3 linked regions of the Canis lupus familiaris genome follow. The protein of the gene in region 3 purifies or fractionates together with the protein of the main gene of each other region. This does not show direct contact. Links are inferred from orthologs where the notes say so. Each region holds a gene or a part of one and is shown on either strand. Other genes may lie near its edges. The genes, in order: ERBB4, EGFR and LRIG1.

Evidence for each region.
Region 1: the proteins of LRIG1 (region 3) and ERBB4 purify together in Homo sapiens (affinity purification with western blotting; 3 studies listed by BioGRID and IntAct, with this or other methods). This does not show direct contact. The link is inferred for Canis lupus familiaris from reciprocal best matches to the Homo sapiens genes LRIG1 and ERBB4.
Region 2: the proteins of LRIG1 (region 3) and EGFR purify together in Homo sapiens (affinity purification with western blotting; 4 studies listed by BioGRID and IntAct, with this or other methods). This does not show direct contact. The link is inferred for Canis lupus familiaris from reciprocal best matches to the Homo sapiens genes LRIG1 and EGFR.

Annotation. Positions count from the first base shown.
Region 1 is NC_049258.1:18,897,155-18,900,800, forward strand, and holds part of ERBB4 (receptor tyrosine-protein kinase erbB-4), read right to left. Parts: intron 2,009-3,646; coding exon 1,563-2,008; 3' UTR 1-1,562. UniProt on the Homo sapiens protein: Tyrosine-protein kinase that plays an essential role as cell surface receptor for neuregulins and EGF family members and regulates development of the heart, the central nervous system and the mammary gland, gene transcription, cell proliferation, differentiation, migration and apoptosis.
Region 2 is NC_049239.1:5,959,435-5,963,766, reverse strand, and holds the start of EGFR (epidermal growth factor receptor), read right to left. Parts: upstream 2,923-4,332; 5' UTR 2,908-2,922; coding exon 2,820-2,907; intron 1-2,819. UniProt on the Homo sapiens protein: Receptor tyrosine kinase binding ligands of the EGF family and activating several signaling cascades to convert extracellular cues into appropriate cellular responses.
Region 3 is NC_049241.1:25,160,531-25,164,019, reverse strand, and holds the end of LRIG1 (leucine-rich repeats and immunoglobulin-like domains protein 1), read right to left. Parts: coding exon 3,345-3,489; intron 2,739-3,344; coding exon 2,454-2,738; intron 2,349-2,453; coding exon 2,089-2,348; 3' UTR 1,300-2,088; coding exon of another isoform or gene 1,272-1,299; 3' UTR 644-1,271; downstream 1-643. Other genes in the region: SLC25A26 (S-adenosylmethionine mitochondrial carrier protein), read left to right, coding at 195-361, 1,272-1,299. UniProt on the Homo sapiens protein: Acts as a feedback negative regulator of signaling by receptor tyrosine kinases, through a mechanism that involves enhancement of receptor ubiquitination and accelerated intracellular degradation.

The sequences.
Region 1 (3,646 bases), on a different chromosome or scaffold from region 3:
AATTACATGAGAAATTTTTCATGTTTATTTACAACTTTTGACCCAAGAACCTATCTATAAATTGTGAACGTTTGTGTATTTTTTTATTATACCAATTTATGTGCAAAGAGTTACCTTCTACTTAATATAAATAGAGTCTCATACTAGAAATTCCATGGAGTCAAGCCAATCCTTACTTGCATTCCTTCATATGGAGTGTACAAACTGGATAACTTTTCTTGCGTAGCAAATGTGATATCACTTGTTGATAATGTGCTGGCCCTCTCACCATAATCTCTTGGATACTGTTCCAAAGTCCTAATTTGCTTGGTTTGGCATTTCCACAGTCTTTCCTTATCTTAGCTCTTTTAAAAAATGTACTTAAATTATTTTGCTGGTTGCTTCCATATTGCTTCATTCAAAATCCAAAATGGAGTTCAGAAAGAGAACGAATAAAATTATAGCTTAAGTGCAAACTACATTTCTGAGTATCTGCCAGGTAGACATACCCAATCCAGTGTCTCTTCCAGTTCAATGGATTCCCCATTGGACCACCCCTGAAAGTGTCAGTAGTTTTCATGAACCACATAGAACTGTCTCTTAGTTTCCCATTTACTCTTTACACTACCAACTGCCTATCAAGTACTGTCATTCATGGAGAAGAAAATGTTGAAGAATGTAAAAGATGTGGGGGTACATATTCCATAGTGTAAAACATGAGAGTTAGATTTGATGTTACACTTAACTAATATCTTGGCCTCCCCTTCTATTTTAAAGGCCATATATTTAAAATAATGGTCATTTCACCATAATAAAATATTTTTTTTACAATTCTGTCAATTTATAGCAACACATAAGAAACTTTGATGTAAAAATATTTGCAATTAGAAATTAAAGTCAAAATATAGGGAGGTAAAAGTAATATAAAGAGACAGATCAAAGCTGTCAGAACAAAACAAAACAAAAAGACCAAAAAAAATCCCTCCAAACATTATTACTAGTTATAACTTTTAGAGAGATTAAAAAATTATGAAAGCTGAGTTGGCCATTCTTGCTTGTCAGGATAGAAACTGTTGGAAAAGGAAATTGGATTTTCAATTTCAGTTACTCCCATTTGTTATAGAAAAGGTTATCCTTTTGTTCTAATGGAAACTTCATTACAATTTCCAAGGATAGTGTAAATGCATACATCAGTTCCTACAGATAGGAACAGATAGCATGGGTCTTTCAGGCATCTGCATTAAAAAAAAAAAAATAGAAAGAAGAAAGAGAAAACGTTGAGAATTAGCTTGACAGCAGGCAGTATTGCCTTTTATTTGTTGGCCCTTCTCTAGCTGTTCCAGTCTCCTGACCAACCCATGCAGAGAAATGAAGAAACAGTGTGGTTCCTCCTGTCTTTCTCTTTCAGTTCTTCCTTCTAGTGTTCAAGTTAGATAAGCACATGACTATCATTGCATCTCTATATCTTCCATTGGGAAGTGTCAAATCTACTGGCCTTGGGAATAGAAGGAAGACCATAAGAGAAAGAGAGGCGGCAGGGAAATTGGAGCGGGTGTGTCTGTATCTTAAAGCCACTGCTGAGCTTACACCACAGTATTTCGGTGTCTGTAGGGTGGAGGAGGCAGCACAGTGCCTGGCTTCAGCGAGAACTCAGAGAGGTATTCAGGATTCTCTGCCACAATAGGCCGGATCCGTCCATTTTGTTTATAAAAATATTTTGTGCTGTACTCCTGCAGGTAGTCTGGGTGCTGAAGGGTGCTCCGAGGTGGCAGGCTGTGGTTCCAGTAGTCAGGGTTGTCGAATGCTTTCTTGGCCTTCTCTGGCACAGACAGTACATTGTTCTTCAGGTATTCGGCATTCCCCAATGCGTTGGCAAAGGTGTTGAGGTACAGTGGCTCATTCACATACTCATCCTCTGCCTTGGGTGGACCATTGGAAGCATTGTGATATTCGGGATTATCCAAAGCTTGAAGGTCTCCATTCTTCCTCCGAGAAACAAAAGGGTTCTCCTCCACAGGGTTCAAGTATTCTGAGGAATGCAAAAATATCAGTTAGTATCTACTTTCTGGAAAATGTTAATTAGAAGAAGGTAATGCAGGATGGTCAGCTTCTTTCTCCAGAATCATAAAGCCATGGATTTGTTTTCATGAATTTTTACAAAAACTACTTTGTCTATTACTTTTGTCATATGAAAAAAAAGAGTAGGTGGACCAAAACTCTTTAATGACTTAGCAAAGCACCGCAGGCCAGAAGCCCTAGTTCCTGTCCCCTACATTGTTCCTTTTTCCTTCTAATTGCATTTATGTCTCCTACATAGAAGGCCACTTGTTTGAATGCTTCTGTTTTCTAAAAGTCAGTATTTTATTGTTGATGAAAAATAAGGCAATCTATCAGGGGTAAATAGCTTTTAAATGCGGAGAAATTGGAATTTTTTAAAGGGTATTGGAAAATCAAAATGTCTATGGCTTAGCTCCATGCCAAGGTAAATGGATAAAGTGAAGGAATAGTGTTTTTCAGTCTGTGTGTTTTGCTCTGATGTCCATATAGGTAAAGTGGATTTGATTACAGATGTTTTTCAGAAAGCACTACATATAGGAAAGGAAACATCTAAAGAAAAGACTCAACTAATAAAATCTGATAGACATCTAGCATGTCACTAGATTGACTTGCTCGACAATACATATGCCTAAGAATAAAGTGTAATTAGAGCATTTACTTCCAATGGCTAACCATAATCACAAAATAACAAATTATTAGTTTGAATTATATGAAATAACTGTTTTGTAGATTGGCACCAGTCATTATAATGGCTATTTTGCATGATCTGATCTGATAAATTAATACAGAATATTGACCCAATTTTTAAAAAGGTGTTATCAATGCTGTTCTTCTCAAATATAATTCTCTCTATGTTTATAGTATAGACGATATATAGACATCTATTCATGCAGAGTAGACCTTTTTGTCCTCTCTTTTAATGTCTACACAGAAATGACACTTCAGCTATTCCTATTTTGGTGTTGGGGCAGGGGAAGGGCATAATTGTTTGTTGAGATGCCACCGTTCTGAAACAAACTTTCTATCCTCTATATATAGCCTGACAAGTAGAGAAAAAAATTGCATCAACTTAGGGTGATTAGTCCATGGTCTTTGATATACTTAAGTATTTAGCATCATGTGCAAGTTCAAGGATAGTAATTACTATCCCACCATCATACATAGGCATGACAGGAACTTACATCTTCCTCACAGCAATCCTGTGAGAAAGGAAGTATAAGCTGTATTTTTTTTTTCACTTTTATAAATAGAGAACCAAGATTAAATGATGTATGAAGGATACAAGCAGTATTGAACTAGAATTCAGTTCTAAAACTCCTGTTGAGCCATTTCCTTGTTCTACTGTACTGTTTTAATTATTGTCCCTAAAGGGGTAGGAAAAACTTTTCACTTCATAACATGTTGGAATTTGAATGGTGTTTAAAGCAATTGACATTTTAAGAAAAATATATGCAAACAAACTTTTAAGGGAGACAGAATCTGATTTTCCTTACCAGGTTCCTGAAACTCATTAATTGAAAGTGTAATGAAGGTCTATACTAACATTCTCTACTCTCTGAGAAGTAGGCTGGAGTACAATAATCTTCTATAGAAACTTGTATTCAGAGAT
Region 2 (4,332 bases), on a different chromosome or scaffold from region 3:
CTACTAAGATCACCCTTACCCCTTTTAACTCATAATGTCCAGCACATTCTATGCACTCAATAAATACTCTTTGAATTCTGAGATGGACTCAGGAGCCTGGGGCTGGTAACTGCCACGTCCAGCCTGACACAGAGCTGGAACGAGAAGAGACGTCCCGGCTTCCAGGCCACAACCTACTGGGCTTCCTGACCTCTGAACTCCTGAGAGAAAAGAGGGTAGTGGATCTTCACTTGGGATACAATTCAAAATCCTCTCATTCCCTCCTCTTCAACACAGCCTACTAAATCGAGAATGTCTTCAGAGGAAAAGCTGGGACAGGCCCCCCGCACTCCCCAGAGAACCACCCAGGGTCTCTCTTCTGGAGCAACACCTTTACCTTTCCATTTTGCAAGGGAGAGGGGCTTGCTTAACAATCCGCGAGCAGTGTCCAAGCTCACTGCTGCTCTGGCGACTGAGCTGCCTCCACAGAAGGCAAAGCAACTACTGAGTAAAGGAGCAAGAGTCTAGACCACCCAATAGGTGGATGTTTGTTCCAAGTTTCACACAGAGACCAGTCCTAAGGAGCCCGTTCCCTGGTCCTTTCCTCCGCCTCCCAGCACCTGCCACTAGGTGTTTGCACACACCCGATCTGGCTCTCCTAAAACCAGAACTCACAGGGGGCAGTGGAGCTAGGTGGAGGAGGCAGGACTCGCGGGTGAGAAGGCCTGAGTCTGAACCCTGGCTCTGCTTCTTCCTAAATGTAGAAGTCGCTTTACTTCTCTGGACCTCAGTTCCCCCTTTTAATAAAGCGCGTACTCACCACATATGCCTAATGTAAGGATTAAAAGGACGTGTAAGACAGTGCTTGACAGTACCAAGAGCCATAAGAACAGAAGATACCAAATCTTAGGGAAAAAAGGCTCTCTAAACCGAGTAAATTTGCTTGAACAAAACCGACTGAATTTGCTAAGGGTCCTTAACACCTTTGGTAAAAACATCTCCTTTTATATTTTTAATAATTCATCCTTTGAAATTGGTTTTGTAATGTTACTCTAACAGAATGACATCTGTTCGCCCACCCTCACAATCGTGTCCAGGAGCATTCTGTTTTAAGCAAATACAGGACAGGCAAATTAAGCGGTATTTATACATTTTCTTGGAAACACATCTCCAAGCACTAATAGCAGTGTTCAAAGGGGGAAGAGCAAAGAGCTGCAAACACTTCAGGAGTTTTTAAAACACACACACACACACACAAAGTGATGCTTTGGAGGTGCTCCAAGAGTCAATTTAAATTAAGGAGGGCGGGGGGGGCCCTGTAGCAGAGAGGGAGAGACACCACCTGCCTAAGAGGACCCTGTTGCAGGAGCAGGACCACAGCCTCCAGGGCTCCCCGCAGAGATGAAGGGGAGCCCTTCAGACTCCTTAGAGGATGCAGAGCTTTCCACCAGCTCTGTCGGTGAAAAGACTAATCCCCTATTACTGAAATCACCCTCCACCTCCTCTTTCCTATATTTTGCAAGGTTGTTAACACTCCAGATGTTCCAAAAAAGCTTCTTTACATTAGCAGGTAATCTTTCCAGAGACCTTAGCAGTCTCTCCCCTACACCAGTGATCCCCAAACCTGGCTGCCCAGCGGACCCACCAGAGGAGCTCTCGAAGATCCTGATGCCCAGGTCTCAGATCAGACCAAGGAAATCAGGATGTCTGGGGTGGGGGTGGGGGGCCAGACCTGAGTTTTCGTTTGGTTTGGTTTGAAGATCCCAAGTGATTGTAACCCGCAGCGAAGTTTGGGAACCACACCGGCTTGTGCATTAATGCTGCCCTAACCAACTCACTCAGCGCCGGCCAATGACATCAGCAGCAAGTACAGACCTGACTCTTGGAACCCGGGTTGCTTGATTTTGAAATTGTGTAATTAAGCCTTCGGAGGCATGTTTCTCATGTCAAGTGGGTTTATGGCCGGTAGTCACGAAGCCAAGGCTCGCTCATGTTCAGTCTGGACATTCGGCACCGGTGAGCCACGGACATCAGTCCTTCTTTCAAAAAACATCACCTTCAATATTTCGGTTGGCCCAACGTCAAATTCTTCAAAAAGGCTAAAAGGAACATTCCCCCCCACGAGAGAAGTCTCGGGATCTTGAGAAGGAAAGTGTGCCGTGGGCCTCATTTCCAGAAGCGGAGGGGACCTGAGCAGGACGGGGCTCCGTGCGTCCGGGCGCCGCCGGGAGCCTGGGGACGCACCCCACGGGCTGCAGGTGCCGGCAGGTCCCGGAGGTCCCGGAGGTCCCGGAGGTCAGGGGCGCGCGCGGAGCCCGGTGCGCCCGGCGCGCAGGGGGATGGAGAGCCGGACAAGCGCCGTGGGGCCGCGCGCGGGGGAGCCCAGCGCACCCCCTTGTAGCCGAGGAGGGCAGCCCGCGCCTCCTCCCTCCCGGCAGCCACAGGCAGAGGCACACGCGAGACCCCCCCAGAAGGGTGCGCGCACCCCAGGAGAGGGCCCGCCCCGGCTGGCAAGGTCGGGGTGCAGCGACACCCGGGGGGGGGGTGTGCTCGGGAGGTCCGCGGCCGCGGAGGGGGACCCGGCTCGCCCCGAGCCCCGGGGGCGCGCACCCCGCACCCGAGCGCAGCCGGGCCCCGGGAGGAGGCGCGGGGCGCCCCGCGGCCGCCGAGCCCGGGAAGTTGCGCGCGCTGCAGCCCCGCGGGCCCCGCGCAGGGAGCCTGCCGTCCGGCCGCCTGGGACGCCCCGGCCCGGGAACCCGCGGCCGCTCCTCCTCCCACGGCCCCGGCAGGGGCGCAGCCGGCCCTCCAGGAAGCGGGAAAGGAGGGCGGGAGGCGCTCACCTCTCTTCTCCTCCAGCGCCGGGCTCGCCTGCAAGTGCGCCGCCAGCAGCGCCAGGAGCGCGGCTCCCACGGGCCCCGGGGGGCGCATCGCGGCGGGCGGCGGGCGGCGGGGCCTGAGGTCGCGTCTGCGGGGCGGCGGCCGCGGGACGGGCTCGCGGGGACTCGGGCCGGGGACGGACTCGCGGGGACGCGGGCGTGCGCACCGTGCCGGGGGCGGAGGCTGCGGGCGCGGCGCGGCCCGGACGTCTAGCTCGCGGGGGCGGGGGCGGGGGCGGGGGCCGGGCCGGGCCGGGCCGCCGGGGGAGGGGCCAGGCGGCGGCGGAGGCGGCGGCGGGAGGAGCCGAGCGGCCCAGACGGCGGGCGGCGGCGCCCCGTCCCGGGGACCCGGGGACCCGGGCGTCCCTCCGCCCCCCGTGCCTCCCCCTCCCCCCCGCCCCGTCCCGGGGACCCGGGCGCACCTCCGCCCCCGTGCCTCCCCTTCCCGTGTCTCCCCCTGGCGGAGCAGCGCCCCCCCGCCCCGTCCTGGGGACCCCGGCGCATCTTCGCCCCCGTGCCTTCCCCTCCCATGCCTCCCCCTGGCGGAGCAGCCCCCCCCCCCCCCCCCGCCCCGTCCTGGAGACCCGGCGCATCATTGCCCCCGTGCCTCCCCCTCGCGGAGCAGCACCCCCCGCCCGGCCCTGGGGACCCCCGCGCATCCCCGCCCCCCGTGCCTCCCCCTGGCGGGGCAGCCCCCCTCCCCCCCGCCGCGTCCCGGGGACCCGGGCGCACCTCCGCCCCCCGTGTCTCCCCCTGGCGGAGCAGCCCCCCTCCCCCCCGCCCCGTCCCGGGGACCCGGGCGCCCCTCCGCCCCCCGTGCCTCCCCCTCCCCCCCGTCCCGGGGACCCGTGCGCACCTCCGCCCCCCGTGCCTCCCCCTGGCGGAGCAGCCCCCCCTCCCCCCCGCCCCGTCCCGGGGACCCGGTCGCACCTCCGCCCCCGTGCCTTCCCCTCCCGTGCCTCCCCCTGGCGGAGCAGCCGCCCCCCCCCCCGCCCCGTCCTGGAGACCCGGCGCATCTTCGCCCCCGTGCCTCCCCCTCGCGGAGCAGCACCCCCCGCCCGGCCCTGGGGACCCCCGCGCATCCCCGCCCCCCGTGCCTCCCCCTGGCGGGGCAGCCCCCCTCCCCCCCGCCGCGTCCCGGGGACCCGGGCGCACCTCCGCCCCCCGTGTCTCCCCCTGGCGGAGCAGCCCCCCTCCCCCCCCGCCCCGTCCCGGGGACCCGGGCGCCCCTCCGCCCCCCGTGCCTCCCCCTCCCCCCCGTCCCGGGGACCCGTGCGCACCTCCGCCCCCCGTGCCTCCCCCTGGCGGAGCAGCCCCCCTCCCCCCCGCCCCGTCCCGGGGACCCGGGCGCACCTCCGCCCCCGTGCCTTCCCCTCCCGTGCCTCCCCCTGGCGGAGCAGCCGCCCCCCCCCCCCGCCCCGTCCTGGAGACCCGGCGCATCTTCGCCCCCGTGCCTCCCCCTCGCGGAGCAGCACCC
Region 3 (3,489 bases):
GGGGGGAGGGGGGGGAGCTCGACAGGGAGCAGGAAAGTGGTGCCCGCCACTGGGTGTCTCCCTGTGGTGAAGCTTCGGGCTCCGTTTAAAAACAATGAACTGCAGGTGCAAGCAGGCATTCTTCTGGCAGCCAGGCTGCTGTTCCTAATTACCCTCAGATGTCCCCTAAAGAACACGACTGTATTATTTTACAGAGAAGTGTCCAGCAGCCCACGTGGTGTGAGACAGAGCCAGCAGTTGCAGCCCAGGGCCTGGGAGGGCGTGGTGGGCCCACTGAGGACCTGAGTCCCCCTCCCCGCGAGCCCCAGAGGAGGGGCCTGGGCCAGCGGGGAGACAGCACCATTTCTCCACGCCTGGTCAGGTCTGTTGCGCAGTACTGGAAATTAGAAGGGACGAAATGGGGGAGGTCACCATTTCAGAGCTTGACTAATAAGCTCCAGGTGTTTGTTAGAAATCTCAGGAATCCAGGGGTGGTGTATCTTCCCCGGAGCAAACAAGTATATGATTTTGCTTGCCGAGAAGAAATTTTCCCCTTTTTGGGAAAACAGATAATTAAAGGCAGAATGTAAGGGAGTTTTTGGAACAGAACGGGGTGAAACAGTGCCGCTTACAGCATAGGTAGAAGAATGCCCCAGCCACACAATCAGCATTTATAAATGAACCTTTATTAAAGACACTTCAACGCCGTTTGTTAGACACTTCAATATTTTACATGTTTTTCAATGTACACTGTACCAAAATTTCTATAAATAAATAACTTTGTACATAAAAGTAATACTTCCTCTTTCACATTGCCTCTCAGAAGCAGCAAATTCACATATTTTGTGGAAGTAACATTAATCAGTTGACTGTTGAGAACACAAGTCTGAATGTGCTTACCTTTTAGAACAGTGATGACACCGGACAGTAAAATTTAACAACCATTTTGTCAGTCTGTACCTTCAGCTTTTTGGCTAAAGGAACTTGCTTTCTGAGATTTTAAGGACCTTGTTTCAATGCAGTTTTTCCTGAAATACACATTGGCACTCACAAGATGGTTAGCTACAGGTCTCCAAAGTGCAAATAGGCCCCGGTCAAGGGCTTCTTAAGCTTGTACAGTCCCAGCCCGGGTCTGTCGGTGGGAGGGAAGGACGTGGAGAGACAGGCTCCGGATCCTCAGTAGAGATAAGCTAGCCCTGAAAAGTAAGGACTCGATCCTTTTTCTCCCCCATGATCAATGTCATATTAATTATATTGGCAGAACTAAAACATCACTATTGAAAAATCCACAGGTACCAACACCAGCAGCCTCTACCTTAATAAAAAGCCTCGAATGACAATCGAACGATACGGATGACAACCACATTTGCTTTTCTCATAGAAGAAAGGCAGGCAGTGCTTAATTGCTTGGAACAAATGCCTCGTGGCAGATTAACCACCCCCGTCCTGCTTGGCAAGAACTTAAACTTTCAAGAAAGTCACGTATGGCAGAGGTACAGGACGACATGGGCATCTCTGGACTCTGCAGGGAGGGGAGCTGCGAGAGCAGCCACACGTGAGCAATACTGACAGGAAGTGAGTTCCAACGCACACGAAGGCTCGGGCCGTACAGCCTCCCACGGGGCTGGCCTATGAAGTGCAATACAAACCCAAGGACTTCCCCTCCCCACCCGCCAGATACTCCTAGGAGCAAATGTGGTTTTTAGCTTCTACAACTTCCATCCATGCATTAAGGCACCAGAACTATTATTCCCTGCCCCCCTTCCAAAATTAAACAGCAACCTGATATGAAAAATAATATTGTCAAAATTGTACTTTTTTTTCTGTTAACCATGCACTAAAGATTAAAATAGCCTCTGCAAAAGATATATAATATATAGGAAATCTCTGAAAACTCTTATGTACAATGGTATCAAATACTTTTCTGCTTTTGTACACAATAGCCTCTGGCGGTTCTGTGCTTCAGCTGCAAGTCCTTTAGACCACGGACACTCCACATGGAAGTTTAAAAACTCTGTACACATCAGTGACGCTTGAACTCAAGCTTCCTTACAGCCTCTCCTACCTCTTTCCTGTAGAGACGGACACAAGAGCTGAGGTAGACAAAGCCTAGCTTTTCGGTGCAAAGAGCAGGGGTACGCCCCGTTGCCCGGGGAGCTGTCCTGTCAGCGGTAGGGACTCGGGACTGGAGTCACACGCTTGGGGGAGGTGTCCGTTGGAAAGAAGCAAGTGCTGGCCTTCACTGGGGACGTCAGGAAAGCCCGAGGAGGCTTCTGGGAGCTCAGGACTGCCTGGAGTTAATGTCGAGGGAGGCTGGAGGTCTATGGAGTCTGGCTCACACAGCCTCGCTAAAGTCCAAGAGGAGGCCCCTGTGAGAAAGGAGAGGGCATGTCAGAGCCTCCCGTCCGGCTGCTTACCGACCCCCTCCCCGCCCCCACCTGCAGGTGCCTCCTTGGAAGACCATGAACATCTACCTTTCCCATCTGGAGGTGCCATTGGCTTTTTCTTCAAGGGTGTCAGCATTCTGTCGTGGTTACTGGGATAGAGGGACCCCTTGCAGTCGGCACGGGACCTGTCAGCAGTCCCACTGGTCATATGATGCAGAGAATGTTCCCGGTCCGTCTGACTGGGCTCCTGGCTGCTTAGTGTACCGGGCTGTGCGCCATCTCTGGTCACAGGCTGAGGATAGAAAGCTTGTTCCTTGGAGTAACCGTCCGAGTCAGTGTTACAGTCACCGCACGCAGCCGGGCCACTGTGCTCTGCGGGGACGGAGACAGATTAGAGCCATGGCCACCAAGGTCTGCATCCCCACCCGGAACAGGGAGCTCCAGGGGCCTGCACAGACCAACTCTATGAAAACTCTCCTCTTCCCCCAAGTGTTGCATCAGCCCAGAGAAAGGACTGGGCTGATACCGAGCCATTAGTGAAGAAGGGGCCCTCCATGTTTCAGCATTTCAGATTAATTGCTTCATGAGAGAAAGTGGTCCTACTGCTCTGATCACAGAGGGGGGAAAAAAAAAATCCCACTGCATGACATCCCTGTGGTGTCAGGAGTCTTTGGAATAATTAGACAAATAGTCTCAGAAACAGCCCTGGTGAAAAGAGACTTTGATTTGGGCCTTGCCCCTTATTTAATTTGCCTATAAATCTGGAAAGTTCAAGCCCAGGCTCACCACAGCACAGATTTATTTAGGAGACATGCTACTTCAGATTACAAGAGCCAGGCCACAGCTTCCTGTTTATGCACTGAATACCAAACTCTGAGCTAGACTTAGACCGGTAATGCATCTCTCTCACTGAATGAACAGGTCTACTTGAATTTTAATTTCAAGAACTGAAGGCTGCCTGATGAGAGCATCTCTTACCCATCTTCTGCGGACCAGGTCTCCGCTGGGCTTTCTCCATCCCGTCCCACGGCTCCTTGTTACATCCGGTGCAGAGCTGGGGCTGCCTGCACGTAACGCCATGAGCGTCCACCTCTGCAAAGAGGCTTGCGTCTCTCGGACAAAC